Rattus norvegicus: one gene and its partner. The protein of the gene in region 1 interacts with the protein of each later gene in a pairwise test. Links are inferred from orthologs where the notes say so. Each region holds a gene or a part of one and is shown on either strand. Other genes may lie near its edges.

Evidence for each region.
Region 2: the proteins of Necab2 (region 1) and Klc4 interact in binary tests that used the Homo sapiens proteins (3 or more experiments, as listed by UniProt). The two-hybrid records come from large-scale screens. The link is inferred for Rattus norvegicus from reciprocal best matches to the Homo sapiens genes NECAB2 and KLC4.

Annotation. Positions count from the first base shown.
Region 1 is NC_086037.1:64,412,952-64,416,600, reverse strand, and holds part of Necab2 (N-terminal EF-hand calcium-binding protein 2), read right to left. Parts: coding exon 3,642-3,649; intron 1,634-3,641; coding exon 1,525-1,633; intron 1-1,524. UniProt on the Homo sapiens protein: May act as a signaling scaffold protein that senses intracellular calcium.
Region 2 is NC_086027.1:21,838,063-21,841,711, reverse strand, and holds part of Klc4 (kinesin light chain 4), read right to left. Parts: intron 3,317-3,649; coding exon 3,086-3,316; intron 1,976-3,085; coding exon 1,894-1,975; intron 1,383-1,893; coding exon 1,163-1,382; intron 767-1,162; coding exon 679-766; intron 1-678.

The DNA of each region.
Region 1 (3,649 bases):
AGGACTCTTGGGGCTCTGGGTCAGCCTCTATTCTAGCCCTGAACTTCACTTGTTAGACTAAAGCAGGGAAGGAGCTGGTCCTTGCTCAGATCTGGGGAGGTGCGTGAAGGCATCAGCACCAGAAGCTGCAGCAGAGGGACCAGCAGGGTCTGTGTGGGGTCTGATGCCTCCTCTCTGGGCCTAGCCTCTACCCTGGCTCAGGACTGCTTTTGGTAGATGCCATGCCCATCTGAGAAAAGGTTGTCTGTAGATTCCAAGGCCGGCGACTGCCTTGGAGTGCCTCAGACAACCGGAAATGTTGCTTCTTATGTCTACTTCAGGGAATACTGGAGTCAAGAATCCAGAATGTCTTCAGAATTGTGACCTTCCCTATAGGGATAGATCCCCCAACCCCACCCCATCCTTCAGGGCAACCTCTTTGGATCTTTTTGTTTGTTTGTTTGTTTGTTTGTTTTTTGAGACAGGGTTTCTCTGTGTAGCCCTGGCTGTCCTGGAACTCACTCAGGCTGGCCTTGAACTCAGAGGTCCGCTTGCCTCTGCATCCCAAGAATGTGTGCCCAAGAGGCTGCAGAGAAGCTAAGACCTCAGATGGCCTGGACACAGAGAGCCCTGCTCTACTATGAGAACCAAAAGACATCCTCAGAAAATTACACCCTGTCAGGTCTCCAGCCTCAGTTCCTGGCTACCACTTTACAAGCAAACTGCAAAGTGGCCCGGTAGTAACCATGTACCTACATCACCGCTAGGCTCTGGGCCCCCCAAGTGATCCCACCTGCCCTAGCACCCCTAGAAACTTTAGTCCTCAGCACCTCAGTGGGGCAGAGGAAGGTGACCAGGTGGCTGTTGCCCACCCAGGCAGAATTCAGGGGCATCAGACAAAGATGAGTGAAGGACACTGCACACTTATGCTGGCTCTGGACGCCAGGTGTCCTGGGAGGCTGAGTCACAGGTCCAAGTTCTTAGTGGGTTACAGAAACAAGTTCATTTTGTTCCAAGGTCAGAAGTGGAATTCACAGGGGTTGGGGATTTAGCTCAGTGGCAGAGCGCTTGTCTAGCAAGCTCAAGGCCCTGGGTTCAGTCCCCAGCTCCAGAAAAAAAAAAAAAAAGACAGAAGTGGAGTTCAGGCTAGAGTTGGGATTCATAGACACTGTAGGGTGGTTTGGGATGGTGGTTCACAGGGAAAGCGGTGTCTGAGGTCACGCTGGGATTAGAACTGAATGGAGAGATAGCAGGCAGGGCCACAGCCAACTTCCCATCAGTCCTGCGTATACTGCAGCAGGCCCAGGGTCTCTCCCCGTTTGGCCAAGGTCGCTCAGAAAAGACAAACTTTGTGGGACACACACACACACACACACACACACACACGGGGCTCAGGCAGCTTGGCAGCGAGGATCAAGTAAGTCTGACTTTTGAATTATTGAGTCAGGGGAGTTCTAGGCCTCTTGCCCTTAAACAGGACCTTGGCACTGTGAAGAAGGGAGGAGCCCACACATCCCAGGGTGCCCCACAGTAGCCCAGGCTCACTTGGTGTTGTCTGAATCAATGGTGTGGAAGAGGCCCTCCAGCTCCTTCTCATTGAGGACGCCATCCGCGAAGAACAGTTGAAATTCCTCAAGGGACAGTTTCCCGTCGTCTGCAATGGACAGGCAAGGAAACAAGTGACTGCTTGTCTCAGAGAAGAGAGCGCATGGTAGCCTACAGCCTGTCCTCAGCTGACAAACTCCCTGTTGTCAGCCTGAGGCCTACTGACAGGTAATCCCAAACCATCGGAGACAACTGGTTTCTGGGGAGCAGATACCTTCATGCTCTATCAGGCAATCACCCCTTCTGCTCTCCCCTCAGTCATCTGACATAGACATTATTTTTTTTTTTTTTGGTTCTTTTTTTCGGAGCTGGGGACCGAACCCAGGGCCTTGCGCTTCCTAGGTAAGCGCTCTACCACTGAGCTAAATCCCCAGCCCCCTTACATAGACATTATTTAAGCAACATGCTTAACCTGATACCACTAGCCTATCAGGGATCATGCTCAATCCAAGCCCCAGGTCCCAGCTCTGAAGCAGTCTGAAGATAGTCCTTCTATTCCGTCCTTCCTCAAGGCAACAGCAGGCTGAGCTCAGACCTTCAACCTACCCTAGAGCAGGACTTTGTGCCACATGGTAGGTAACAGCACAGTCCCCCACCTTTTGGGTGAGGGGTAGTCAGTGGCTCCATATTTCATGGCGTAGCTGGGCTGCATGGAAAAGCTGAAGCCAATGCTAGATTCAATGAATGTGTGCTGTAATTGATTAGTCATGTCTGTCCCGGGCACAGCATGGGGTGTGCTAACACCAGGCCAGGCTTCCCTCTTGACTGTTTCCACCTGCTTATCATGGATGGTACCTCAGTGTCCTCTGTACCCAGAGAGAACAGGAAGCTGGAAGACAGGGCCTGCAGATCCTCTGACATTTACCTTGGGTGCTAGTCACAGGCCTAATGAGCACAGATGAGCTATTAAGAGGAAAATATCCTCCACTTGGCCTCTGGTCCAATTAGAGAAGACAAGTTGTCCTGCAGTTTCATCACCTCTGCCAATGACCCAAGTGGGGCTGTTTGCAGGTGGTGCTACTAATGAGCAGGAGCCCAGCCTGCAGCAATGACCTTTCAAATAGCAGGAACCTGTGAGCCTCACATCCTTGGATGGAAGGGCTGGCTGGTCCTCACCCTTCTGCTGAACAACAATGCCAGTCTTTGAGGGTGATACCCAGGCCTCTCACACTAGCCTTCCCTTGGGGATTAGCTACCCCGTGTCTACCACATCCAAGCTAGTCAATCATGAGAGCCTCCCAGAGACACTCAGCCTTGTTCTCATAATGGAAGGCATCTTGCATACATTGGCAGATGTATGCATTGGCACAGAGGCCCTCCTGTGCTTTGGGCACAATGGCCTCAACGGAGAAGACAAGTTCAATCACCCAACCTGTGGGAGTGGTGGGGGTCAGGAGGGTGCAGTCTAAGGCTCCAAGCTGACACTCCTGTGACCTGTGTGGGGGGCAGGGGCCAGGCCTCTTTCCCTGGGTAGTATAGGCTCTGCACAGTGCTACCACACCTTTGGTACCCTACATCCCTGTGTTGTGTGTGGAATCTGCAGGTGGTCCCCAAGGCCTGGGAAGATGCATACCATCCCTGGGACAGGCCCAAGAGGGCAACACTCCTCTATAATGATCCTAGCCCAAGCCTGTCCCCCTGTCCTTCCAGATCCCAAAGAGCTCCATCCCAACCCACAACCACGTGGGACAGTTAACAACAGCTCCTAGGAAGGGCAGAGGAGGTGGACAAGGCCGGAGCCACCTTGAATTAAAACCCACTTGGGAAGGGCCTCAGGGCAGGTGACAGGCAAGGGTTCTCTTCTGCAGTGTTGTAGGTCACCCACGTACATCTCTTTACCTCACCCCAAAGCTCAGGGCAACACAGGACAGCTGTTACCACGTCAGCTTACAGAAGGGGAAACCGAGGCACAGAGCAGTGACAGCACTTAGCCTCTGGATTTCTTGCACTCTTCACCCTCAGGTCCATAGTCGTCCATGTTCCCACCCCTAGCTGTTTCCCATGAAGCACCAGGACAGGGAGAGTGCGGGCAACGAAGCACCTAGAAGGAAACTCACCGTTTTTA
Region 2 (3,649 bases), on another chromosome or scaffold:
AATTCCCGGCACCCATATACGGTGCTCTCCTCTGGCCTCTATAGGTGCTGTACACATACGTGCTACACAGATATACATGCCAGTAAACTACCCAGACGCATAAAAAGAAATAGAGGGAAAAGGACTTTTTGAAAGAAAATGTCTCAATTAAACCTGTCATTTTGGGGGTTGGAGATTTAGCTCAGTGGTAGAGCGCTTGCCTAGGAAGCGCAAGGCCCTGGGTTCGGTCCCCAGCTCTGAAAAAAAGAAAAAAGAAAAGAAAAAAAAAAGGGGTTGGGGATTTAGCTCAGTGGTAGAGCGCTTGCCTAGGAAGCGCAAGGCCCTGGGTTCGGTCCCCAGCTCTGAAAAAAAGAAAAAAGAAAAGAAAAAAAAAAGGGGTTGGGGATTTAGCTCAGTGGTAGAGCGCTTGCCTAGGAAGCACAAGGCCCTGGGTTCGGTCCCCAGCTCCGAAAAAAAGAACAAAAAAAAAAAAAAAAACTAAACATTAATATAAAATGCAAGCAACATAAAAAGGAGTCCCTGGGCCTCAGAGAACTGAGAACCACTGAGTTCACTAGACAGAGCCTGAAAGTTCTTAAGCCTCCTTCCTAAGCATGTGGTGAGTGGTGAGAGCAGCACACGAGGACTGAGAGGCCAAGACAGCAGAGACAGAGGGGAGGGAGTGGGTGGGATACTGACGGCTGGGTGGTCCCGGCCCAGGGTGCTCTCCCGGATGCTGAGGGCATCGTTCAGCAGATGAGCAGCCTCCTTGTATTTATTCTGGTCCCTGAAAAGCAGCGGAAAGGATGGGCATCAGCATGAACTCTGTCCCCATACCTTCTCCTTCCTCACTTCCTTCCAGAGACCGAGAGAACAGAGGCACACTGAGAGACTGGGGACCCCTGATGTCAGGAAGCTTGTTAGGACAGGACGAAAGGCCCAACACACCAGGCTGCAGACACCGCCATCTCAAGAGGAAGCCACAAACAGAATAAGACACACACACCCTCTCCAGAGAGCCTGAGAGATAAGTATTCTCTGAGGTGGGGGCTTCAGGATCAGAGAAAGTGAGGGTTCCAGTGTGGAGGACAAACCCTTGCAAGGTATACCTGGGAGGCCCAGCAGAGAGGAGAGGAAGGTAGGATGTGAGCTGCTATAGACAACAGAGGACAGTGGCACTCACCGATACACCAAAGCCAGGATATTGAGCATAGTAGCCACGTCAGGGTGACCTCGGCCAGATGTGCGCTCCAGGTCCTCTAGCGCTTGCTTGCAGAGTGGCACAGCCACCTCATAGCGACCCTGAGCTGCATACTGGATGACCAGGTTGTGCAGGGTCCGCAACCTTGCTGGGATCTCATATCCACCCTGCTGGGCCGCTGCAGCACCCTGACCACGGGACACTAACTCATCCCAAAAAAGACAGGGCATTTCCTCAGAGGACTCCTCCTTTTCCCTTGCTGCCTGCCCTCCCCTCTGCCCACCCTTTCTCTTGGCTGCTCCTTGCCAGGTTCTCAAAGGAGACTCCGCCCCACAGCTATTCCCTTAACCACACCCTTGCACCAATGCCCCCCACAATCCTATCTATTCTCTTAGTAAATCACTCAACTAACATTTGCTGGGGTGTCCAGCAAAGCACAAATACAAAAGGCTTGAGGAATGCCTGCGGCTCCAGCCCGGGGTTATTTTCTGCTAGACTGTGAACTCACTAGTGGGACCAGCATCCTTTTCATCTTGATAACCCTAGTGCACAGCACACTCAGTAAATGCTGACGGGTACCGGGGAGGGAAGGAACCCAGTCTCCAAAGGAAGTGGGGAACTTATCTCTGGATGTGGAGATCCTACTCAGACTGGGCCATAGCTTGAAGCAGCTTCCTGCTGCCCTCACCCTGCAGCCCCACAGGCAGACTCACAGTCGTTGCTGGAGTCCTCCTCCTCCTCATTGGGGAAGAGGTCATCCAGGGAATCTTTGCTAGCATCTCCCTCCTTCTCCTCCTGAAAGGAAAGGGACAGCATGCCAGACCCCAGTGGCCTCATCGGGCTTCTTCTAAGCCACAAAAGCACCAAGCAATGGGCCTGAAGGCTTCTGCCCCTGGAAAAGACCAGCAGCTGACCCAGTCATGCACAGGCCTCCTGGATGTGAAAGCCAGGGATGTCCCAGACAAAATCGCACAACTCTATTTCTCATCCATAAAGGTCTCTCTCTAACACCCTATTCTCCCTCTCTCAGATACCTCTCGTAATTATAGCCATGGCGGTCCCTGTGCACTTACACTGATTATATGTCTATCCTGTCTCTCCTGAGGGGAAGGAGTATGTCTGTGCTCACTGACACGTACCCCAAGTGTCTAGCTCTGCCTTGGGCTGACTATTCCCTTTGGTCAGTGTGGGCTTAGGGAAAATGTACTTTTCTTCTTCAGGCTCGCCCATGTGTCCCAGGCAAATTATCTCTTCACCGTCTATGGGCAGAATAGCACTCCAGCCCTGCAGTCTTTTCTGTACCTGACCTCCTCTCTGAAGGCTTCTGACCATGCCAGCCCTCAGGGACCTATCCACGTGGCAGTCCCTGTACTCTGGCTGAGCCATGTCCACACTGTGTGCTTGCTGCTTCGTTCAGTCACATCCGAGCCTCCTGTGTGAGCCCAGTTCTGCAGACATTACAGGCCTGAGAAGACAGGGACTTTTCCTAGTCTCCTTCTCTCTGCACTCATAGGGCACAGGGATACATAAACGCCAGCTCCAGGGCTGAATTTCATGGAGCTTGAGAGAAGACTGTAGGGGAGTCTCTTGCTAAAGTGGGCTGTGCTCTCCCTAACTGTAGGCCTTAGGATTCTGGGTTCGAGCTGTCTGACTGTCCGTCTTGTTCCACATAATGTTAGCTGTGAGAACAAGAACTGTCGGCCCACTCTCCAGGGGCGTACACATGAGACTTAAGTCGACGGAACAAGTCAAGATCGTCCCCTGACCCCTGTTATCTGGAGCTGGTACCAAGGCTGAAAATAAAGTCCTTTCAAGTGGAAACGCGAAAGGCATTGACATTCACTGCGGGACAGTGGGACGCTTGCCCTGCCTTCAGTCCCAGCAAACGCTGGCTCACACACTCACCATGCTGTGCCCATCCTCGTCATACTGGCGCAGCTGCCTTAAGAACTCCAGGTGCTTCTTCTCTTCCTCCAGCTGTGCTACAGCCTGCTCGCTGCGCTGCAGCCGCTGCTGAGTGCCCGCCAGCTCGTCCCGGAGCCACTGATTCTCCTGGCAGAGCCGCCGTACTTGGGCCCGCAGCTTCTGCTTCTCAGACTCCACTGTGCTCAGGTGGCTAGCCAGAGCCAGCATCACCTAGGTGGGACATCGTATGAGCTCCAGGCTTTTGGGAAAGAGCATCCAGGGGACAGGTGGCCTCCAGGAGATGACGGAGAGGAAGCAACAAGCAGGAGTGAGTGGCAAGAACTCTACCATGAACAGGTTCACAGGAGGCTGGAGCAGTGGTTCGCAACCTTCCTAATCCTGTAACCCTTTAATGCAGTTCCTCAAGTTGTGGTGACCCCCAACCATAGGATTATTTCATTGCTATTTCATAACTAATATCTGATATGATATATCATAACTAATATCATAATATCTGATATGCAGGATGTCTGATATGTGACCCTTGTGAAAGGGTCACTTGAC